3 linked regions of the Drosophila melanogaster genome follow. The protein of the gene in region 3 interacts with the protein of the main gene of each other region in a biochemical or structural test. Each region holds a gene or a part of one and is shown on either strand. Other genes may lie near its edges. The genes, in order: EcR, usp and trr.

Region 1 (8,535 bases), on a different chromosome or scaffold from region 3:
CAAAGCTAGACAAACTCTCTCACGCTCGCATGCAGCTACACAGATACATATAGGAAAGCACAGATACATGTTGCACCCATACTCTAAGCAATTGCTCCAGTGTACTACTGAACTGAGAGTCGTTTGGCAGTCGGCCAAGAGGGAAAAGGATAGTGGAGGAGAGGGGAACGAGACGTGTGGAGGAGTGGAGAATGTGGGGAAGGACGAAAGAGAAGAAAATCATCATAGACGCAGTTATGGGTTGCAGCTGTGTTTGTATTGGTATACCCAAACAAATAGAAGTAGAGAAACATAGGAAGAGATAGAGAGAGGCAAAGTCTCTTTCACGCCCCCGACACCAAGCCGCTGCCGTCCCCACTACTCAGCTGTCATTGTTGATATTTTGTGTTTTCATCTTGAACTTTTGTGGTTCAATGTGTCTAGCCAACCCCAAACAGAGCGAAACTCACCACATGCTAACCACTGTCACCGTCAGTACGACCACCCCCACAGTCCCGCACCACCTTGCCCTTGCATTTTGCCGGCTTTTCTATGCGTATGCGTAGAGAGCGAGGTCGTCTCTCTCGCTCTGGCAAATGCAATTCTCTATTGCATTCTACACTTGAACTTGCCCAGCGTCAACTCAACGCACACAGCGACGTTAAGTAAATACGTAGCGATTCGAATGATGGGGCTGGTGGTGGGGGGAAGGGATGGGCAAACAATTATCTGCAGCGATGTGTGCGTATCTGTATCTGAGTATCTCAGCTCGCTTTGCGCTGACTTTTTAACCACAATGTATTCGAAACGTGCAATTTATACGTCGCCCAGCAGACGGCGGTGATACGTGTATGTGTATGTATACATACGTACATACTCATAGATACTGTTGTGGCTGTTAGTTTGATCTGCGTTCTGTTTACCCTCCTGGTGATCTTTTTCCTTTCCGTCAATTACGTCTCGTAGTGTCAATATTCTGCTTCAAACAGCGGTGTCTACTGACTTCAGGTGGATTTCCCTTCCAACGAATGGAAAACAGTCCTTCGGAGGACTCTCTATGGTTTTCTAACTCGATCTTATTTATTATTCATTCAGCTGACGTGAGAAAGTATTTTTGGCCACATGAAACGTTTTCATTGTTTTCTTGTTGAGATATTTGCTACATATATGTATTCAAATAATAAAGTTTAAAGGGACACTGAAAAATGCAATTGATGTTAGAGATTATTGAAAATAAAACTTGGAATGTATCGAAAAGGTGAAGTAGAGAGACTGTAATTTAAGCTAAATATTTCAACTTATCCTACTTTTAATTATTGCAAGTTGTGGCACTCCTTCCGATTTATTATGGACCCTTTCGTCCCACTATGCGAGAATATTTCAAATGTACGTACATACGTGTGAATTTGCACTTGTGCACCCGAAAGTAGCGATGAACGAAAACGAACGAAAAAAAAAAACAATAAATAAATGTAGAAAACCGAAAATAAAGCAGCAAGAAATGAAAGCGATGATGGCACTCATACTCACGCATACACGGCCATATACGCTCGCACACAACTCACAGATACGTGCCGGAGAGCGGACAAAGAGTATTCCACGATTGCAATTGCATCGGCATTTTCATTCAAGCCGCTTGCTCAGAGTGTGTGTCTGTGGCTGTGTGAGTGAGTGCTGCCTGCGTTTCACATTTATCTTTAGCGCCGATTCCGCTTTTAACTCTCGCTCTTTTAGCGCCATGGTGTGCGTGTCTGGTGAGTTTACTTTGGTGTGCGTGCCAGTGTGGTGAGTTTGAGCGTTTAACATTCTGCTCGTCTCGCTCATTGATTTAGTATTTTTTTGGACTTTGTTGTTAACGGTTGTTCGCTCGCACGTACGAAGCCCGATCGCGTTCGTCAAAAAACAAGATACAAAATACAGCACACACAATTGAAAACGACAACCTAACAGTACGGTTTCCCAAAGCACCTTACATTTCAAAACCGAAAACCCCCAAAATGTTGTAACCAAATAATGTTTAAATCACATATACACCTACATATATTTATGAAAAATTGTTAGACAAATCCCAAATAATACCAGTTCCCCCAACAACCGCAACAAACACAAGTGCAATTCATCGGCAAAAATTAATATAAAGTGCAAATGCATTGTAGCTGAAACTCAAACAATAGTAAAAATACATACATAAGTGGTGAAGAAGCAAAAGGAAATAGTTCTTAAAATAACGCAAATCGAGAGCATATATTCATATTTGTACAGATATTATATGGCGGCTGCATAGTGCAAACTGCGGCTGAGGGAATACAGCGGTATCGAAATGTAAATAGGAAACAACGAAGCCAGAACTCGAAATCAAACATCAGCAACGTGACACACAGACATAAGACGCCCGTCTAGTCGTGGTCTGTGGAACGCTAGCTCCGCTTTGCCAGGAGCCGGAGACTTTTTCCGCATCCACAATATTACATATGTACATATATCGAAGATAGTGCGCGAGTGAGTGAGGGATTTGTGCCGTGGATCCCGATCCCCTTACATATATATAAAGGTAGTGAAAAGATTTTACTCAACATTCCAAATAGTGCTTTGTCAACTGGAATACCTTTTGTTCAAATACGCAGTGGGCCCATGGATACTTGTGGATTAGTAGCAGAACTGGCGCACTATATCGACGCATATGGTGAGTGTGGGCACCTTGGAATCCAATAGAACCAAGCGCTTTTCCATAACAACATTTTGTGGTCAACTGCTTAACGAAAGATCTGAGTTAGGCAACAAGTTCGCTGTTCGGAGCCGAAAACTATTTTCGATTTGTTCAGGCCCTAATGTGTTTGTCTTGGCGCACTTGTCACTTCGCGTGCGCAAAATCAATTTCCATTTCTTATTCATCCAGCCGAAATGAAAACTACATTACCATTAGATCTTTTCAATGCCAAGATACACAGATCATATGTTCGCATAGCTGAATACATGCTGTACATACAGACATTATGATGTCCCAAAAAGATACACATGCTTGGGATGGGGGTTCGATTGGCAATACATTAATTATGGTCATGACAACTGACAGACGGTCAAGACAGAACGTTGAAAATTGTGTATTTCGCCTGCGTAAACATAATCAAGCCTCTTTCGGGCCACCATAGATCCCCGGTGTAGACGAATATGTGCATGTCGGTCTAGGAAAGCACTCGACTGCGTAATTGGCATGTATTTCCATAAATTCAAGTGGGCATTCAGTGAATTCAGCCAACAGATTTACTCTGATTTTCACATATATTCTGTTGATAAGGTTTAATTCGGTGTAAAACGTATTCGATTTATTAAGTGCCGAAAGAACGCTCAAAAATGATTCGATACAGATTGGGCACTTGAATCGTGTTGGAGAAGGTAAAATTGTGGAACATGTAAATGCTGTTCGTCTGAAGAGACTTCACTTTTTGGATCCAATGACTTCAATTGTTAAATGTTCAATTCTACAATAAATGTGTAGTATTTATTTATCTTATTTTTGGTATATTGTTTAATAGGTACTGCGATATATTATTATACATTATAAGGCGAGTCCTCTTGTGCGCTTGGGCTTCCCTATTTTAAAGCGCCTAATGAGGCATTAGGTAACAGCATTAGGTTTGCGCTTAGGTTCCAGTAAAGTCCCCAACATTAGTTTGACTCTCCCACAATTAATTTGTTCCATCCCCCCGACGACACAGACTTACCGCCACCCGTTGGCCTTCGTTTCCTGGGCGGGTCTGGTTAAACTTTCGACTTCATGGCTCTGTTTTTTGATACCCTTTACTCACACAGCATTTAAGTTCTAACGATGACTGAGCTGTGCAAGTTTATTTTTAGTCTCGGCCAAGTCCAATCTAAAGCTCCTAGAAATTCGAATAAGCTCAAAAGCCCTAAGCTGGGTTTTTAAATGAAATTCCTCTACAGGATGCACATAATTCAGAATTGTAGATTTAGTTTTAAACGTGCTAGCGGGTATCTTTTAGTCGAAGCACTCGACTAAAGATTCTCTTTTCCAACTGCTTTTTGCACATTAAGTTTTTCGCTATTTCTTCTTTGCTACACTTTCTGGACACAAACAAAGAGCACAAAAAAAGTAACTTATATCCTATGGCGTCGACAACTTCGTCTTCGCTGCTGTTGTTTATGTTTTATGGGACATTAAAGTGGCCAAATGGCAAATTTTAATGCGATTTTATGCAAATATATAGACACATGTATGTCTATACATGGGATTCAGTGTTGTGGCTTCGCCCAGGCTGAGAAAACCGAGTTACCAGTGCTTTTATGTCGAACCCTCTATGCATTTTTACAATAGTTTGGGGTTCTTAGCTAAATGACTTTGACATGAAGAAATTATACAAGCAAATGGAAACGATCAAAAGATCTGCTTAGTGTTCTGAAAGTCCTACCACAGACATAACAACAATTATGACTACCAAATCCGCACGAATTAAAATGACCCTGGATAATCGAAATACCTTATTTTATATCACAACTGTTTCCAAAGTGTCACACACAACCCCCCTTTAAAAAGGTTCAATGTAACCGCGTCTGGGGGCGACGATACTAATGGGTGCAGACCAGTGGGTCACGAGACAGAACACCACTCCGTTCTTCATCCCCTGGATGGAAATGGGGAACGGGAATGGCAGAAATGGCAAACAGGTGCCATTGTATGTGCTCTTGTATCAATTGCATTGAGTGCCTTATCTTGTCAGCCTTTTCTAGCTGGTTTTCCTTCCCGTTCGGTCTGGATGGACCTAATTTGTGTATGTGCGGTTAAGAGTAGCCTGCCATAAAGCAATCGAGCTTGGAATGAGTTGTGCCTTCTCCCCGACGCTCTTGTGGACTTTCACAGACCAGCAACAAAGTCGAGCTGCCAACACTTTCGCAGACAATCGCCAATGACAGAGAGTTTCCATGACTTTCCACAGTCCAGACAAAACAATTTTATTGTTGTTGTAGATTAGCCGAGCAACGCGAAAATGAACGTAGTTGTAATATAAAGCAAGGTTTAAGTCTTGAAAAACTTGTTCAGATTTTTTAGGGGCAAGCGGATTGTGGCGTTGTCATTCTTAGCATTGACTTTTTCCCTATAACTAATAAACTTAATGGCTTATGCCAAAAAATTACACAAAAAAAAAAACGTTTTTCGTTAGTTGTTTTCAGTATCTTTCCCGAACATGTCTGGTCAATTCAAATTAATTATTTTCATTAAAACAATGTCTTATCCAGTTCAGTTAGTGAGGTTTATTATTTCCTAAGCGTCAACCATGAGTATTGAATCTGGTTTGACACAATGCGCTGTCATTTTATATTGGGTTTAATGTGTCTTCTTTGCTGCCGAAAAGGTCAGACCGTTAGTGTTATTGATTAGAAATGCAAATCGTAGACGCCGCAGAATGGAAGAGAGACACCAACTAACCGGAAAAGGAAATGATTCAAGCACATTTTTGAAGCCGGGCCAGTCAACACTAACCAGTTTTACTACACTTTGGGCCAGCTGTGACTCGTCTATAGGGTTTTTCCTCTTGCCGCCTATTATCTTATTAATCTTATTTATTTTTTAGTTTCTTGATGCTTCAAGGCTATTAAGCCGCATGGGTCTTAAGGACATACAAAGTTTCATATATTATTTGTTATATATTCAATTATTTCCTGTTCTATTAGTTGAAACGCGTGCCCTGTTGCTGTTAAGTGCTCTCAATAAGCCGAAAACGGTCTATCGCGAAATGCTATAAATCTTTTTCGGCCAAGGCATTAAAAAGTTTCTATAGCTTTTATTGCTAATTGATTTTCTGTGCAAAGACTTTGGTCGATAGAATTCAAAAGAAGATGTGAATTATTAAAAGGAAACTCTGGGATATTTAGCTCCGTCAGCAGATCTGCTTGGGAAACAAAGCAGCTGAAGGAATACAGAGCTAAAGAAGCTTTTAATCAAAATGTAGATTCCATGTTATAGCCAACTAATTGAAATCGAAAAATGTTCTAATTATTGCTAACGGAAGCCATAGAATTTCATAATCTGTTAGAGCTAACAAAACTTCATTGAAATCTTACGGTGCAAGTTGTATTCTCAAAACTTACCGCACTGACTCCGACTGAAGCGAATTCCACCAGCTTATTTTGGATTTGTCTTAAACCAAATATTGGATATGTGTCAATTGAATGGCACCATTTTTCATGTTTAACCAAATCAGCAAACTTTTAAAAATTCACCAAATGAGTTCGCGGAATGAAACGCTCAACCTGTTTTTGGTTAAATTTATTATTGTGTTGGGGCTGGTAGTGTGATAAAGAGACAGAGATATGGAAAGAAACAACCGTTAAGTTTGCAGTCCCATGTATATTTTCTCGATAGTTATTCTGATTTGTTTGTTAAGACCTCAATCGTATTGCTTGGTTTTTATTTTGATTTGGATATGTTGTCTTCAACAACTTAAGGCTATGATCCAGAAATTAATAATATTAAATATTTTGTTGCTCTTTAATGTTTTATTTTCTTAATCACACGTGTAAACATCGGAATTTCGGTAGCCATTATATGTAGACTATTAAAACTCCAGGCACACTGCAACACCATTTTTACTTTTAAGGTTACATTTATTTGCTAATGTACATAAATTATTGTTTAATTAATGTTAATATTGTTAAGTTAAGTCCGTCATTGCTAGCAGGTAAATTTGGTTAGTTAAATATCAGGTATCTGATAGTCGATGCACTCGCTTCCCTCTTTTTTGGTTTTCTTGTACGACATAGTAGTCTTGCCCTTTGGTTCTCTTTCTATCTAGAGAGTAGTTTGTGGGAATGTATCGCATATGTTTGCTCCTTCAACTTGTCCCTCTACTAGAGATTCGAAAGGGGGAAGGGTAAGATATTTTCCCTCTGAATCAGCAAATGGAAATCACGCGGCGCTGGTTTTACGTAAAAAAGGAAAATAACAGCAGGAAATTAAAAGGATCCGCTCGCAGAAGTATTCGTTCCTCATTTGCTTGTGTGAGTGTGCTGATGTGGATTTGTGTTGGTGGGCCTATTATTGTATTCCTACTGGACAAGCCGGGAACGGATGTTTAATTGTTTTCGCCCTACCAGAGCAGGCGGCACTACCACAAGCTTATTTGACCACCACCCATTGATTTCAGTAGCGTGTACAACAATTGTTAATAAAGCTTGGATAAGGAAAGGACGTGGAGTAGGAGAGGGTGTGTGGTGTGGGGTACTCCTAACCATCGGGCTTCGCGTGCCAGTCATTGACATACTTTTGCAGAGGAAACGTTCCACCGGGTTATCCCAACAATAATCAGGGGTCAGTCAAGTTTTCGGGGTTAAGGGGTTGAGTTAGGAATCAATGGAATTTTTAGAAAGAATTACTTGCCTTCGATTCAAGAAAATGAGTAGTTCTTAATTTCGGGTTTTAAAATAAATTCACCATATGGTGCTAACAATTTCCTTCAAGATCTCCAACAAAGCATCTTGCCTGAAAGAGACCTATTTAATTTATTAAGATGCAACTTCTAAAAATTTGCATAACTATTTCCGAGTTAATTGACCGCAGATCCAATTCAGATATTATCAGAGCTTTGTTGGCACCAATACATGAACGTGAGTGGAACCTGTTGGCTACTGAAGTTCCCATTACTCTGAACTTTTTACTTTTACGATTCTATAAATAGAGGTGTACGCGCCTACCTTCCTCTCCGTTTTCTGGCTCACCATTCCTCAAATCCATCACTCGAGGCGTAACGAATTTTTCTGCTGGCAGAATTTTCCGTTCTGTTTGGTTCGTATTACTAAAATACGAACAGCGAGCTGGAGAAGCGTAAAGCTATCTGAGTCTGCGCGTTTGGCTTTTTGACGTCGTTTGTACTTCAACCTGAACTCCAGAGGCAGAACACAAAACAGGGATAACCCCAGAAAAGTAAAGTGGGCAAAAGTAAAGTGGCAACGCAACAGAGAACATCAACAAAAACCCAACGACACAACAAAAATGCCATAAATGTCGCGTACGCATGTGTATCGCAGCGCATCCCGCTCATATACACAATACAATATATATGTATGTTGTATGTACATACATATATAATGTGTGTAGTATATTCCGAATGCGATAAATACGCGTTCCGTCTCTGCTTCTTCCGATGTTTTCAGAAATATTTTTGTAGACAACAAAGCAAAAACGGCAAAGAACAACCTGTTTGCATTGTTTTTGTGTTGTTGCTCGACGAATTCTGCCGGCAGCGACGTTGGCAGCGATGGCGACAGGTTTTTTCCTTAATGCGGGCCAAAATCTCGGCTCAGTGCTCCGCCCTCCCCCTTCAATCGAGCGAGCTTAGACTAGTCTTCCCTTTTCTTTTCATTTCTTTTCCTTTTTATTCTGACTGCTTCTTCGCGATTCATCTTGTTCTTCATTTCGCGCTTGATCGAGATTCTTTTCGATTTTTCTAAGCTTTCGCCTTGTCTCGCTTGCTCTTTGGCGCATGAGTACGGCTTAAAACCAGTTTTACTGCCTTATAACACAAAGAGACGAAAAGTTACAGA
Region 2 (8,198 bases), 150 kb from region 3:
TGTTTTCCGCGCTCGTTCCGTTTCGTATCGTATCGTATCGGTTAAAAATAGTATGTTTTGAAAAAGTTTTATTTTCGGCGTCAACGTCAACGCAGCGAAGGGAAGTGGGCGGGCCGGGGGCGGAGAAGGACGGTACGGGATTGGTACATATTTGAAATAATTTTGAGAAATAGCGCGAATTCGGATCGGAAATCGGAACTGATCCGGTAAATATAGATCGATATACTCTCGGTTCGTTCCTTTTATTGTGTCTAGTTTTTTATTGGTAGCACTTTGACTCTCCACATAGATCATATATACGCACATATTGTTCGGATATATATATATAAAGATATATGTGGTTTGGCATATATAACCATCGCACGCACACACACACACACCTCACACACATGCACAGTTTTCGTTACTTATATTTTGCTTTGCTCGTTTTTTTTAATATTTCGTTTTTATATTTATTTTTCAAACAAGTACAAAAAAATAACCCAAAAAAAAAAGAAAATAGAGTATAACGAAAGCAAGTGAGTCGGTTAGCCAGATATATATATATGTACACATATATATATCTATATCTACTCGTGTGTGTGTAGTCGAACCAAACAAAAACAAAAACAACAAAACAATCTGTGTGGACAGCAATTGGAGCAATATCTACGTGTGTCGCTTGCGAAGAGAAAGACCCGCTCGCGTTGATAGCCAACTCAAAACTGATGTCGCGCCAGCCAGCTGCTAACTCTGAATACCGTCGCAGTCGTCGTCGCAGTCGCAGTCACCGCCGCTGCCGTCGGCGCACCAACACACACCACACCAACCCCCCCATCCGACCCACCTGCCCCACATCGCCCACCGCACCACAGCAGCCGTCGCAGAGGAAGAAGAAAAGTCTGCCGTGCAGCGGGAGCATCGGATCGAATCGGATCAGTTTGGATCGCTTGCCATAGCCGAAGACCCCAACATCCGAGCATCCGAGCATCCAAGCATCCAAGCATCCGAGCATCCAAGCATCCGAACATGCGAACATCCGAGTCACGAAGAGTGGAGCGGCAAGAGTGCCGGAGTGGGAGTGGGTGGCAGAAGAAAGTATGAATTCGGCCAGCATAAGCGTACGATTCGTGGGACCCTTTAGTTGAACGATGAAGTGCGGGCATGCTGCTTTCGTGGACTTTCACTCGTCTCGTTTAGAAATCAACACAATTCCGATACATTCTGATTATGATGAATATACGTATATGTACGAATGTCCTGAACATGAGTTTGTTGAACGATCAGGTAATTAGGACCTGGGTATGAGCCAAATAGTCTGGCCATTGGACTGTCTTCTAAAAGCAATGGGTATCGCCAGTTCCGAACTCCTTCTTTCTGCTTTTTGCTCATTTGCAGCTGCGGTGCTGCCTGCTCCCCTTGCTTTTGCTGCGGCTGTGACGAAGAGAGCTCTCGGACGGACGCCCATTAGTGAAATTGGTAGGAAAATGCAGTTGCAGGCGACACGAAGTAACGCAAAGAAAGTAAGAGAGCTCAAAAGGGGCACCCTGTATGGCGTATGCTGTGCGCGATATGCGAAGACGACAACAACTTGTTGGCCCCTACGTCAGCGCGTCTGACGCCCCACCTCCTTGGTTTTCTCCTCGTCTGTCAGCGAGTCTCCGCGGTTCAGACAGCATCCACCCATAGTCCCCTCGTGGGTCTTTGGCAAACGCCCCCGCATAACTACGAAAATAGCAAATTGTTAATTTCGCTTCGAAAACTCTTTTCCAATACACACACGAAATCGCAAATCGTCGAAGGAAATGGTGGTGGGTATTTGGAGGAGGAGGGGAGGGGACACATGATTTTATTGGCATGCTTTCATGGTTTTTCCGTGCGAAACATTTCATTTTTCATTCCACATTTTTTAACACGCTGCTACATAGGACTATTTGTGTGGGCTTCTTCTTGTCGGTGGAGAGAGATGAAATTTATGAAATTTATTAAATATGCTCGCCACACACAAAATCAAGGATAGCTATTAGCTAAACCAATAAAAACCACCCACAATAAGTGTGGACACACTGCCGTCTCTCTCTAACATTCTACCCCTCTCTTTCACTCTGTGTGGGAGCTTTCAAAAGCTCTAGATCATTTGTGTGAATGGAGAATCTGAGAATACGTTCATGTTAAATAGCCAGGATCTCCGACGGCTAAGTATTGTATCCGTCGACTTGTCCCAATTTACAGATATTCCTTTGGGGCGAGATATACAGATAAGATACAACGATATAGAAAGAGATAGAGCCTCAATTTGGCTATTTATAGAACATAATGTGCGTCGTCAGCGGCGAGTTTTGTTCTTTTTTCAAAAACAATATCTATTCTTAGTCGCTGCTTGTGCGTTAATACCATATTTTTGTAAATACATACTAACATACATTCCCGCTGAGACATAAATTTTATAAAAATTGACCAAATGCCATCTGAGAGGCCGCAACATCAAGGTGAGGAGTGGGGACCATCAGGCGATGGTCCACAAACCAAAAATCAATGCCTAGGGGACGCGAACAAGGCGTACAGTGCGGTTCGAAAGCGAAAAGCGATCCTTTCATAATCACAATAGAAGGGATTTCTAGTTGGTTAACATTTTACACATTATAAGTACAAGATCGTGAAATCGTTGGGATCATCTTTTGAATGAAATGAATTAAATTTAGACTGGCTATTTTCGAAGAGTTTCCGCAGTGAACTTTATTTATTACCTCCACCTAATTATATCACAGATATATTAAAAAAAAAAAGAAAGCCACCCAAGGGGCCGGCAGAATAACTAATTTAACTAGTAATACAAAACTTGTTAGGCGGAACAGAACATAGTATGATTTATAATAATAAAACTGAAATATTGAAACATCCGCGCAAATAGGCATGGATGTATATACATTTCCGCCTTCGAGAAAGTCACTCGATTTCTTCTTACAGTCCTGAAACGCACCGCTTATATACGCAAATAAAGCCATATATTTGTGTGGACAATGGGATTAATCGCAGATCCGCAGATAAAACGACCATATATCTTGTTATGCAGTTTATATTTTTTATACATAGATATATTTTGTTGGTTTTCGTCGGTGATTTTTGTATCTCGCATCTAATTGATAACGTTTTGGGTAAATTTATGTTAAAAAGTAATTACAATTGATTTAGAACGGGGCCAGCACCGCAGATATGCGCCTGCTGACATATATATTTATGCTGAATTTGTATGTTTACATACGTCTGTAGATCATAACTATGCATTAATTTTAACCGTTATTTTAATATCTTTACTCGTTTAGCTTTAGTTTAACTTTTACTTTTACTTTGCTTGTGTGCATTTTCTCGTTCGTGTTTTGTGTTCTTTTCAAGTTTTGGATTTTGTTTGTTTTTCGTTTACTGGGACATAAACGTCGAGGAGGCTAATCTTCATCTTAAGGAAAACATTTTCTATATCAATAATAATAATAATATTAGGTAATAAAAAAAAAATAAACAATTACATACACATTTTGCGTAATATTAGGGGGCTTTTGTAGGGTATAAGGGATAGAGAGGAGAAATGCAAACAAACGCAATCACAATGAAACATTTTTCGGATGGAGAACGGGGGAGACTTTAGAGTCGGGACCCTACTCCAGTTTCATCGCCAGGCCGGGTGGCGGCGGCGCCTCCAGCTGCTCGAGAAAGAGCTCCTCCAGCGGCCGGTCGCTGGTAATGCGGAAGAGGAACAGGTGATCCTGGCACTTCAGGCTGATCGATCGCAAAGCGGGCAGACGCAGCAGCAGTTGCGCAAAGCGTCCATCGTCGCCCGGATGTTCCAGGCGGCAGTGCTCGTCCAGGCAAGCGTACACCTTCTCGCGGCACATCTCGATCTCCGCCCGGCTCTTGATCCCGCGTATGTCCGGGTTGTACAGTATGATGGCCTTCAAGCAGGACAGCTCGCGTCGGTCGAGATTCAGCCGCTTCATCTTTACACTCAGCTCCGACAATATGCGGTCGAAGATGGCTGACACACCGGCTTTGATCGCACTGTTGCGATGGTACGAGAAGCTCTGGTTGAGGAACAGCTGCTGGGGCTGAAGGCCCGGTGATCGTCGCTCAAAGGAGCCATCGTGGCCTAGTCCACCGCCCCCGCCGCCGGCACCGCCGTCATCCAGCGAAACGATGCTGCACCAGGCCACGTTCGCAATGAGCAGCTCGATCCAAGCGGCTTTCAGCAGAATCACCTGGTCGTCCAGCGGCACCTGGGCAAAGTGCGGCATCATGCGCGCGTATTCGACCATCTGGAAGAGCTGTTTGTTGACCACTTGGCACAGGGCCGACACGGCACCCTTGTAGTCCGGCTGGACTGTGGAATAGGGACCAACGCGCAGGAACGTCAGTGCACGATCGCCGCATTGGGTCTCCGCTCGCTGCTCGGCCTCTATGATGCGCTCGATCGAGAAATCCCTGGACACGCTATTGGTCATGAAGTCATCAGAACCGTTGCCGCTGCCCATTCCGCCAGAAACGCCGCCTCCTCCTCCTCCGCCTTGAGAGCTGGATCCGCCTACCGAACCTGGACCGCTACTGCCGCCTCCGCTGGCGCTGAGCCTACCCGCCGCATTGCGGGCGCCGCGTTGACGCTCCTCCTGGACCGCTTCGCGCTTCATGCCGCAGGTTAGGCACTTCTGGTAGCGGCAGTACTGGCAGCGGTTCCTCTGCCGCTTGTCTATGATGCAGTTGCGGTTCTCCCTGCAAGCGTATGTGAGATCCTTGCGCACTGTGCGTTTAAAGAAGCCCTTGCAGCCCTCACAGCTGTACACGCCGTAGTGCTTGCCACTGGCCCGATCCCCGCAAATAGAGCAGAGGTGCTTGCTGCCGCTCAGCGGATGGTTAGGCGGATACTGCTGCTGGACTGCAGCGGCGGCAGAGCCTCCAGCCGAATTGGGCGCCTGCGCCATTTGGGCATCTCCAGCGCTGTTGTTGTTGGAGCTGGCGGAGTTGGAGCCGGGCAGCACGTGGACCATGGACATGGCCTGCATGAAGGGCACGGGACTCTCGGCCTTGGGCGAAAAGCTGCTGTTGTTGCTGTCGTTCAGCTGCGAGATGTCCGGCTTGACCTCCTCCTTGATGTGGCTCAGCCGAAAGCTGGCGTCCTGGTCGCAGTTGTCCATCCTGGGCTTGTGATGTGGTGCTGGGTATATTGGAGGAACTGGGGGCAGCGCCTCCTCCGCCTACCGGTTTCTTCTTGCTCGTTCTCTTCGTGTGTATGTGGTGTGTCTTGGCTCGCTTTCGCCTCTCTGTTGGGGTTTCACTTTGCCAACGCCACCGTGTCCGTCCGTCCGCTATTGGTCCGTTGGGCCAAGTGGAGCAGGTTGCAGTTTCGTTGTTGGTGGGGTCGTTGCTGCATTTACATAATCTTGAGCCGATGGAGCAGCGCACTTTATTCGCTCGCCTCCAAACAATTGCGCTTTTTACCAACAAACAAAGAATGCCAGACTTTCTGACTAATGAATAAATACCTTTTTTCGCGTCGACATTTTTTCTCAACAAAGACAATCTCACCACAGCGACGCAACTCACCAACGTAGGGATGGACTGTGACACAGGTTGCGTCGTCACGAGTCACAGTCACGACTGTTAAACACTGTATAAAATTAACAACGGCGATGGTATTACCTTAAGTCATATGGTATATAACGCATCTATAAAATTACATACTCCTCTTTTTAATTAATGCACGACATAAGTACATATATCGGTCTCCCAATTGAAGCACGGATTCGTGACTGGGCGCAATCGCATCTCTAATTCACCACAAAGTGGACAGGGCTGTTTTCCCACTCACAGAAACAGTTTTAAGTGGGCGTTAATGACCCAATTAAAGCGCTAATGCCCATCGCACCTGCCGCAAAAATAAGTGTTTTTACTTTGATAACCAATGCGCAATCAATCAATTAATTAATTTAGTCGAAAACCAGAAAACGGGAGTAGCGACAGCCCTGGCGGCGCCATTGCAAAACTCACCGCACCTACGGCGCATGCAACCCTGAGTCAGTCTGGCTCCCCTCCTCACCGCCTTGCAAACCACACAGTGCACAAATAATTTAGCGCCGCTGCAATTATGCAGAATAGAAATGCAAAATGGAGACGTGAATGTGCGCCAATTTCACCGCTGCCGGCGGCAACCTCGGCCTCAAATCGCAAACGCCGTCGCCGAGAATCGAGCGGTTAGGCTGCTGAACCGTGAATCCCAAGACCAAACGGAACCAGAATTGGGCGAAATGCAAATGGAAGTGCAACTTACTTGCAGCCAGTGGCTTTTGATGCGCCGCAAGGTGACGGTTGTTTATTTACTTTTTTCCTTGGCTATCAGTTATCAGTGCTCGCGAGCACACACACACACAGGCACGTCACTGACACGACAACACCACACGACGCTGATTTAATTTGTTGCAATCTCTATTGTAATTGTAGTAATTGAGTCCATCCCATCATCACAAAGAGACGCGACGCGGTAATTGGCATTCGCAAGAAGAAGCATTTCGCGAAACAACAGCTGACAGCGTGGTGAGAAAGCGATTGCGGGGGGCGAAGAACTGGTTTGTCTGTGGTGAGTATACTGTCGCGGTGAGTTGCCTTGGTTCGGTAAAAAACAATGGCACATTATAGGCTGTTTCCACTTCGCTTAATGGTCAGAAAATCTGAAAATTAATCCGTCATGGATATTTATGTATTTTATATATTTATGCGATAGTTAGACCGCAGTAAATTTCTAAAAAATGAATTTCCGCGATGACCAAGAAGCAGGGATTCAGTAATTCAAGAGCACCCTAACATCTGCCTTAAAATTCGATACCGGTTTAGAACAAAAATGGGAGATTCAAAATTTATATAGAAAAAAATTTGCTTAACACTATCAAATTAAGAAGCTTATTTTAAAACAGTTTAAGGGAATGGAAATAGAGTTTTCACATCAAAATTGACATTCAGGACATATATTCTTAATATTTATTTGATTATTGGTATACAAAAAATACACTAATATGTGATATTTTCTATCAGTTTAATTTTCTGATATCGCAATTTGGGGCCTCAGCCCTAAACAATTTATTTCTATTTGGGTCTATTATCTTGTCAAACCCTTTAGTTGCTAACCCTGTACCTACCGCTTCCTTTATAATGAAATGTATCGAGTTCTTTTGTTTAGCTCAGCCTTATTACGTTTTGCCTGTCGGTTTCGCAAATATTCGGTTTTGATTGGTTTTCAGGCGAATAGTACGATAAGCAAATGCGACTCGTTTGTTTGTTTACGGCTTTTAATCAACATCCGAATCCGAACATTCATGTAGTTTGCTGAGTTCAGCATTGAGGACAGTAAGGGCTCCGATCCGCTGGTTAAGATATTCGATCTCTTCTCGGTACACGCCCGTCTCGTAAAGTAGATTCTCGTACTCCCTCATAATTCCAATATAATCGTCACTGCTGCTGTTGTCGTTACTGTTGTTGTTGTTGCTGCTGCAGCTGCTGCTGCTGCTGCTGTGACCTTGGCTCCGATTATGGCCGCCCCAACTGCCACCCTGAGCCGATGCACTTTCCGGAAACTCCTCAAAGTCCAGATAAAGCTGAAAGTAGGCGGCATCCTGGCTGCGGCAGATAGGGCAAGTCCTTGATCTGCAAAGCAGACGGAATCCGCGTATAAGACAAAACGTTTGAGCTCGGCGATAAGATTTGGGGCACTGCCACTGATTTAAATCACTTTTGTATCATTTTCATTTCTGATTGGTGCATAAATTAGAATATTATATCAGTGGCACATTTCATTTTCGTTATAGCTCTCAAGTCCTTAGGATCACTTTTACTTACTGCTTTCTCCAGTGGTCTAGGCAGTCCTCGTGGAACGCGTGTCCGCAGCTGCCGGCTTGTATATTGTCCGAGGTGCGAAACCGCTCCGAGCAGATCGTGCAGATGACGTTGTTACGGCCCATTCCGCTCCGGTTGACTTATACCTAGGTCGATTCGATTCGCTCCGATCCAATCAGGTTCGATCTCCCTGTGCCGTATTGTTGCTCGGCCGGTGACAGGGGACTGAATGAATGCAAGTCGCTGAATCGAGCGTTTTGCTGATAAGCGTCCAGGCAGCCACAGTACACTCCACTCGGTCCTCCTCTTGTCGTCACTCGTCGGCCCTCTCGAGCACTCCCCTGCACTGC
Region 3 (8,384 bases):
ACCAAAATCTCACCAACAACAACAATCCAACAATGCGACTCTCACTCTCTGTCTCGCTCTCGCCGCCCCGATACCACAACAACCTCACCCCACTCTCTATTCCTCTCGCTCACATTCACTTGCAAACTGGCGTTTGCGCGTGTCTTCTTCTTTCCTAACAACTTTTCACTTCTGATCCATCCCAACAAAAAATAAATGAAAACGAAACTGTAAAAAATACATCCACCACACAACCACACACGTACGATCACGCACATATCACGCAAACCGACCGATAAACCGATAAACAAACACGAATTCGATCGATCACAGGATATGCTTGGACCAGAAGAAGCATATGAGGGCCTGTACGGACAAGGTCCGCCCAGCGTGCACAGTTCACACGGAGGTCGCGCATTCCATCAGCAAGGTATGTATGTCATATGCGTAAGAAGAGACCCTCGTACCCATCGTACCCCTCGAGCCACACCCCAAGAAGAAGAATCCTGCATAACCCCACTAAAAAGTAAACCAACGGAAACGTTAACAGGTTCAGACAATTCGAAAAATCCTCGGGACCAGCCCCAAACCCCCGCATCCATTTAATCGTTATCATGTCTGTTCATCATTCAAATATGCACTTGTTAATCGAAACTAAGACGTTAAGCTCACTTTAGTTTCTTCAGTGTGAGCGAAACCCTCTTCCACCCAGTTCCCTCGCTTGATCTCAATATCTCTGTCTCCTTGCTCGTTACCCCCTAATATCGTTAAACCCTTGAGTTCCACGGCTGCATGCGAAGGAAGTGAATATAACTCCGCCTGTTTCCATTTGCGGTATACAAACATTTGTCGATAAATCCAAATCTTGTGCATCCGATGCCCGACATTGGGCGCCAATTATGTCAATAAGGGATAATAGGGATAAACTTCAGTCTTTTGCGGGATTACTTCCCCTGCTCTCTCACATTTGGAAAAGAATATCTATCTCTCCGGACTTTACACGTAGCTTGAAGATTTTTGCACTACACACACACACGAACACCGATCTACCACAAATAACCACAGAGTGCAACCTTAAAAAATAAGGATCGTGAATAGTAAAGAAACACATACGTTTCTTTGATAATTTCGCAAATTTATTGTTTTGTATAAATCTATTTTGTTTCCTTTCATTAGACGGCTTTTATCTTTAAGGTCTCCCTCCATGAAGGAGCAGTAATAAACTTTATTTCGGTTCATACTGCATGTCACGTAGCCTGCGATAATCGCATAGTTTTAGCCACCCACAATCCATATATTTTATGGTGTATATACTCGTATCTAGTTTGTAAGCCGTGTGTGCATGCAAGTTTCAGAGGACGAATTCCAATCGACAATAACGCGTCCATGTCGTGTCGTATTTTAGACGTATTTAGTTCTTTTTAAGCAGTATTCAACGACAGATTTTTGTTGTTTGATACTCTAGGTTAATGTTAAAGGGTCGTCGTGTACGAGTGGAGTCTGCATTTCGTTTGAATCGGCATAAATCCAATAAGTGTGTTGGAAAGATGCATTTTAGATGAGTTCCCGATTAAAGCGAGCAGCAGTGAATCCACTTTTGCAGGACTTCAAGGTGTCGCACCATCTGCCAGTTGACGGCTGGCGGAGATTGTAAATCCTCTCCACTAATCACAATATTCCCTATCATTCTTTGCCCATCTCGTTTGTTCACAGGATATGATACTCTACCAATAGATTCGATGCAGGGTCTGGAGATCAGCAGCCCAGTGGGCGGCGGCGGTGCTGGCGGTGCTCCCGGCAATGGTGGAGCTGTAGGCGGAGCTAGCGGCGGCGGTGGTAACATCGGCGCCATTCCGCCTAGCGGCGCACCAACTTCGCCCTATTCCATGGACATGGACGTTGGCGAGATTGATGCCGGTGCATTGAACTTTGACTTGGACGCCATGCCGACGCCACCCAATGACAACAACAACCTGGCTGCCTGGTACGATACCGATTGTTAGACAAGCCGAGCTAAGGGTAAGGGTCGAGTATCCATTCGACCCCATAACATAAAACACACGAATTCCCATCCCTGCACAATAGCCCTCTTCCACCGGCTTTGATTCCATCCCGGATCCCGGAATCGCGATCACCGAAACTTGACTAGATCAACGAAGGTGTGGATTTTACTTGACAAATACGAGGAGCTGCGGCAGGTCAAAGTTCTGCTTCCAGAACTGAAGTCCGTGGGAGAAGGCTATTTGCTCACACACCATACCCCGCGACAAAGCATACACACACGCATACATGCATAATATTATACATTTATTATAATGCGAACGAAACGGCAAGAAAAACATATTATATGATGCATTACATATTACCCACGTAAACGAAATGGAAAATTAAACAAATGTTTGCAATAGAACTCGTACATTTCCCTTCATATGGCGTTTTTCTTATTTGCTCCACAATTGGGTGCCGCAGAGTCACGGCTTGGAACAACGAGCCCTAAGTTCGAAGTTCGAACCTACTTTAAGATATTTCCAGTTTTCAAAAGTACTTGAAACAGTTTCGTAACAGATTAACGAAGGATGGCTTTATTAATTGAAGCTATACATCTACAGGTGCTTGCCGAACCACTTGTGGTCCACGGGCGAGAGCCAACGGTGGCAGCCGCTGAGGTTGTTCTGGATCACGTACTTCATGGTAAAGGGGTTCTCATTCTGGCGGGTCTGTTCCTCCTCGGCGACGCGCTGTTCGTCGAGCATCTCCTGGGAAACGACGGTGGCCTGGAAGGGCAGCTGGTTGGCCACCTGCTGCAGGAACTGCTTGACCTCAACGAACTCGCACTTGCCGGCTATCTCGACAATGACGCGACCGGCCTTGATGGGGGTCACGTAGTGGTCGATGGCTCCCTTTCCGCCGCCCATCCGTTGGCCCTGGCCCTTCTTAGTGATCGGCTGCCAGGGTGCGGGAACGCGCCATGTGGCGAACATAGTGTTGACGTTCATCTTGCGTCCGATGGTCAAACGCATCATTTCGTAGTGGCCCCAGCGCAGGCGCCCTCCGCCAGTGGCCACGATTGCGTACTGCTTATGGAGCAGCGTGTTGTGCACCATCTCCGGACCGCGCATGTATCGCAGGCGCTTCTGCATCTTTGGCGGACGGATGTTTGGCGGCAGCTGGGGCTGGCGCTCAATGACCCTCAGCTTGGGTCTCTCCGGCTGCTCCACATCTGGGGGTTCCCACATTCATTCATTTATTGCTCTAAATTCATTGTGCACATTTAAATGCAACTACTTACTCTGGTATTTAATAGGCGGAGCGAAATACTTAAGACCGGCTGTGTTGACAATTGCCATGTTGCCCGCTGCAAAGAAAAGTTTAAGTGGTTTGTTGCAAACTGTTATCGGATTGGATGTGGCTAGGCAGGAAGCGCCACTGCAACTTACACGCAAGGCTTTGCTTAAAGAGCTGGGAGACTAACTTTAATGAGAGCATGGTGAGTTTATGTCAAAATATATTACTTATTTATAAAATTGTATTGTGCAAAGATGTGTTGCATCAACGGCCACCGTTGCCAGATCGAGCTAATAAATGTGGTGCTAAAAACATATATCGATAGACCACCGATTGGTCGAGTGAGCTGACGGCCCTGTCCAGACTATGGTTTATTCTTGCAGTTGAAAATGTGCCATATTGCACGTGGAACACAATAATTATGTTATGTATTAAAAACTTCTGAAGTTAACGAAAAATGATTGCTGTACAAACGTTATTCGATTGCAACCGCCATGGCGATATGTTGAAATGGGATGGGAAAAGTGGTGGGTTTCTGAGTGGAAAACCAGGGATGGGTAAGAACGTTTCAGGGTAATGGTCGTTTTACCATCTGGTAACACTGCTCTGCATACACGAAAATAAAATTTTTTTGACTAATCGTGCATGTTTTCGCTCGGTAAAAAAAAAAGCAGGCCGCGCGAGCCCTAGCTAGCTAGACCGCCGCCCTTCCCGTCCCACGAAACGCAGCGCATCGCATCCGGCGTTCCGCGTTTCCACTTGTGTGTTTGTTATGAATATACCGAAGGTGACAACATCGCTTGGTGCCGCCGAAAAGGCGAAACCCGAAAGAGTAGCATCCGTGGCCGCCGCTGCCTTCAATGCGGTCAGCCTGCAGAAGCGCAGCGGCGACGACACCGCCACTCCGGCGGAGGATCCCACGCGCAAGAAGGCCAAGACGGAGCTGCTTCTCGGAACTGGAACGGCAGCGCCCAGTTTGCCCGCCAAAGCGTCGAGCACCGCGCCGCAGCAGCTCCTCTACCAGCGGAGTGGACAGCAGGCTAAGGCGCAGGTAAAAGCTGCGTCGGAGCCGCAGGATGTCGAGACGGCGGACGGCGTCTGGGACGCCCGCGATCAGCAGATCATAGTGTGCAACTTCGGCTCCGGCACTGAGATGGGTGCCATCAAGGCGGAGGACGCTGACAAGCAGAGTGAGTACAGAATCAGCACTCCAAGGAACAGTCAATCTAACCCTTTGCTACACCGAAACACAGCCTTTACCAGCTTTACCAAAAAGGAGGGTGCCTCATCGTCGGCCTCGTCATCATCGTCAACCGCGTCCGTCATTTCCATCGAGCCCAGTGGCTCGGGGCAGGATCATGCTGAAAACTCCGGCAAATCTGAGGACCTCGACTACGTACTGATGCCAGCCAGCGGCGCGGATAGCTCTACATCTGTGGGTAACTCCACCGGAACGGGAACACCAGCAGGAACGCCTATTGGAGCTACTACCTCCACCATTATTTTAAACGCTAACAACGGAACGGCAGGAGTCAGTGGAGCCGGCACCACTACAATCCTCACACAGAAATCCGGTCACACGAACTACAACATCTTCAATACCACGGCCACTGGTAGCCAAACGCCCACTACAACATTGTTAAACCGGGTGAATCTTCACCCCAAGATGAAAACCCAGCTGATGGTTAACGCCAAGAAGCTGTCGGAAGTAACGCAGACCACGGCGAAAGTGTCGATTGGCAACAAGACTATATCGGTGCCGCTGCTCAAGCCGCTGATGAGCGCTAGTGGAGCGGCCACAGCCGGAGGAGCCACGATTGTAGAGAGCAAGCAACTGCTGCAGCCGGGCGGTCAGGTGACTACCGTAATGAGTGCTGCGCAGCAAAGCGGTGGTCAGCAGGTCCACCCGCACGTCCATTCTCATGCACATCACAACTTTACCAAACTTATCAAACGCGGGCCAAAAAATAGCGGCACCATTGTCTCGTTTTCGGGGCTACAGATCAAGCCGGCGAACACCAAAATTGTGGCCACCAAGGTGGTGAGCAAAAAGATGCTGCAACTTCAGCAGCACCAACAACAGATCCAACAGCAGCAGCAGCTTCAGCAGCTGCAGGTGACCAGTGGTGGAGGCCTGGCTCCGCCCACAGGCAGCATAGTGACTATCACCACCACCAACCCCAGCCAAACGTACGCAATGGTTCAGGATTCCGCAACTGTGGGACCTGCGGCCCATTCGGAAGACGATGCGCCAGCGCCTCGAAAGATTACAGCCTACTCGGAGAACCTTCAAAAAATTCTCAACAAGAGCAAGTCCCAGGAATCGACTGGAGGCCCGGAGGAGTTCACCAACATCAACAGCGTGGTGATTAAGCCGCTCGACAAGAATACACTCAATTGTCCACCCAGCTTTAACATCTTTAAGCAGCAGCAGCACTCACAGGCTGCTCAAAGCCAATCAATCTCCGCGGTAGGCAGTGGAGCAGGCACACCCGTGACGTTTACCATGGCTTCGGGGAATGCCTCAGATCTGGCCACCACCTCCACCGTTTCCGTTTCGGCGGGGACCATCTGCATAAACAGTCCGATGATGGGCACGCGGCCAATAATCTCCATTCAGAACAAGAACATATCCCTGGTGCTGTCCAAGACGACCATGGCCCAGCAAAAACCGAAGATGATAACTACAACCACGTTGTCCAGTCAGGCGGCGCTGCAGATGCATCATGCTTTGATTCAGGATTCTAGTGCAGACAAGGCGGGATCTTCTGCAAACTCCGGATCAGCTACCTCGGGAGCTTCAATGCAGCTGAAACTAACGACCGCCAATACGCCCACCAAACTCAGCGTTAGTCTGGCTCCGGACGTAGTCAAGCTGGAAGAAGTTGGCAGCGAATCTAAAGCAAAGCTACTGGTCAAACAGGAGGCGGTTGTGAAGGATAGCACTGGTACTCCGACCAGTGAGGAGCGGGCTGAGGAGATCGGCACGCCGGAGAAGCGTTTGAACGCCAATGCCACAATGACGGCTATTAACCAGGTTCAAAATCAGTCCGCCAATCAAATTCAAATGGCCACATCTACCTCAACTGCCTCGAATCCCAGCACACCCAATCCTACAGTGAACGCCACACCTATGAACAACCAACGCTCGGCAGCGGAGGATAATGCACTTCTAAAGCAACTGCTCCAAAACAACAGCAGCAGTCATAGCCTCAACCAGATAAGCATCACTTCGGCTCACGTTGGTTCCGCCTCAGCTTCGGCACCTCTTTCCGCCCGCAAGGTTATCAACGTACGGGCGCCCAGCATGGGGAAGGTCAGAAGTTTGGAGGATCAACTGGCACGTCCGGTGATTCCTCCGGTGCCCACTGCCACGCAGGCGGCAGGTAGTAGTAGTAGCAGTGGATCTGTGGCCACGTCCACCACCACCACAACAGTAGCTAGCGGAGGAAGCAGCCAACAGGTAGCCACCGCCTCAGCGACGGCTCTACCTGTTAGTGCGGTCGCAATTACCACACCAGGAGTGGGAGGGGAGGCAAAGCTGGAGCAGAAATCCGATCAGCCAGCAGCAATTATGCAGAATCAGAGCCAAAACCAGGCGCCTCCACCACCACCGCCACCACAGCAGCAGCAGCAGCAGCAACTACACCAGCCGCAGCAGCTGCAACCGTCACCCCACCAAGTCAAGCAGACTGTGCAGATTGTGTCGAAGGAGACGTCGTTCATCTCAGGACCCGTTGCTGCTAAAACACTAGTGACGGAAGCCACTTCGAAGCCGGCTGAACTACTACCTCCTCCGCCTTACGAAATGGCCACTGCTCCTATATCGAACGTCACCATATCCATATCCACCAAACAAGCGGCTCCGAAGGAACTGCAGATGAAGCCCAAGGCGGTAGCTATGTCACTACCCATGGAGCAGGGCGACGAATCGCTGCCAGAGCAAGCGGAGCCGCCGCTTCATTCGGAACAGGGAGCTACTGCAGCGGGAGTTGCACCTCACTCCGGAGGTCCCCTTGTGTCTGCGCAATGGACCAATAACCATTTAGAAGGAGGTGTAGCCACCACAAAGATACCGTTCAAGCCTGGAGAGCCTCAAAAACGCAAGCTCCCCATGCACCCACAACTGGACGAAAAGCAGATCCAGCAACAGGCAGAGATTCCCATAAGCACCTCCCTACCAACAACTCCGACTGGACAAGGTACTCCCGACAAAGTACAGCTGATCTCAGCGATTGCCACTTATGTAAAGAAATCCGGTGTCCCGAACGAGGCACAACCCATCCAGAACCAGAGCCAGGGCCAGGTGCAGATGCAGGCGCAAATGCAGGCGACTATGCAAGGACACCTGTCTGGGCAGATGTCCGGACAAATCTCCGGACATGCCGCTGGACAGATACCCGCTCAAATGCATTTGCAAGTACAGCATCAGCTCCATATGGCAGTTCATCCACAGCAGCAGCAGCAGCAACTGCACCAGAACCAACCACAGAATGCGACGATTCCCCTTCCAGTTACTGGACAGGGTGCAGTGCCCATCCCCGTGCCCACCATGGAGAGCAAGGCAGGCGACCAAAGGAAGCGCCGCAAACGTGAGGTCCAGAAGCCGAGGCGCACAAATCTGAACGCCGGACAAGCGGGTGGAGCTCTTAAGGATCTAACAGGTCCACTACCGGCAGGTGCAATGGTCCAACTGGCAGGAATGCCGCCGGGGACCCAGTACATACAAGGCGCGGCATCAGGGACTGGTCATGTGATCACCAGTACCGGACAAGGAGTTACTTTGGGAGGAGTGGGCGCCAGTACTGGAGCCAGTTCCTCGCCCATGCTCAAGAAGCGGGTTCGCAAGTTCTCCAAGGTAGAAGAGGATCACGATGCATTTACCGAGAAGTTGCTGACGCACATCCGCCAAATGCAGCCGCTTCAAGTTCTGGAGCCGCATCTCAATCGCAACTTTCACTTTCTTATCGGGAGCAACGAGACTTCTGGAGGTGGTTCGCCCGCCTCAATGAGTTCTGCGGCTTCTGCCGGATCATCATCGGCTGGAGGAGGAAAGCTGAAGGGCGGATCTCGAGGCTGGCCACTGAGCAGGCATTTGGAAGGTCTGGAGGACTGTGATG

What was found.
Region 1: the proteins of trr (region 3) and EcR form a complex in vitro, tested with the Drosophila melanogaster proteins (one study listed by BioGRID).
Region 2: the proteins of trr (region 3) and usp form a complex in vitro, tested with the Drosophila melanogaster proteins (one study listed by BioGRID).

Annotation. Positions count from the first base shown.
Region 1 is NT_033778.4:6,125,193-6,133,727, reverse strand, and holds the start of EcR (ecdysone receptor), read left to right. Parts: upstream 1-1,886; 5' UTR 1,887-2,610; coding exon of another isoform or gene 2,611-2,662; intron 2,663-8,535. UniProt on the Drosophila melanogaster protein: Receptor for ecdysone. Binds to ecdysone response elements (ECRES) following ecdysone-binding, and recruitment of a complex containing the histone methyltransferase trr, leads to activate transcription of target genes.
Region 2 is NC_004354.4:2,035,755-2,043,952, forward strand, and holds usp (ultraspiracle), read right to left. Parts: upstream 6,558-8,198; 5' UTR 6,293-6,557; exon of another isoform or gene 6,114-6,292; intron 5,891-6,113; 5' UTR 5,707-5,890; intron 5,633-5,706; 5' UTR 5,160-5,632; coding exon 3,633-5,159; 3' UTR 3,044-3,632; downstream 1-3,043. Other genes in the region: CG4325 (uncharacterized protein), read right to left, coding at 7,305-7,659, 7,852-7,973. UniProt on the Drosophila melanogaster protein: Receptor for ecdysone. May be an important modulator of insect metamorphosis. Plays an important part in embryonic and post-embryonic development. Binds to ecdysone response elements (ECRES) such as in the promoter region of s15 chorion gene.
Region 3 is NC_004354.4:1,885,428-1,893,811, reverse strand, and holds the start of trr (trithorax-related), read left to right. Parts: upstream 1-3,861; 5' UTR 3,862-4,036; coding exon 4,037-8,384. Other genes in the region: arm (armadillo), read left to right, coding at 313-409, 1,693-1,982; mRpL16 (mitochondrial ribosomal protein L16), read right to left, coding at 2,583-3,199, 3,269-3,334, 3,417-3,465. UniProt on the Drosophila melanogaster protein: Histone methyltransferase that acts as a coactivator for the ecdysone receptor during development. Specifically trimethylates 'Lys-4' of histone H3, a specific tag for epigenetic transcriptional activation.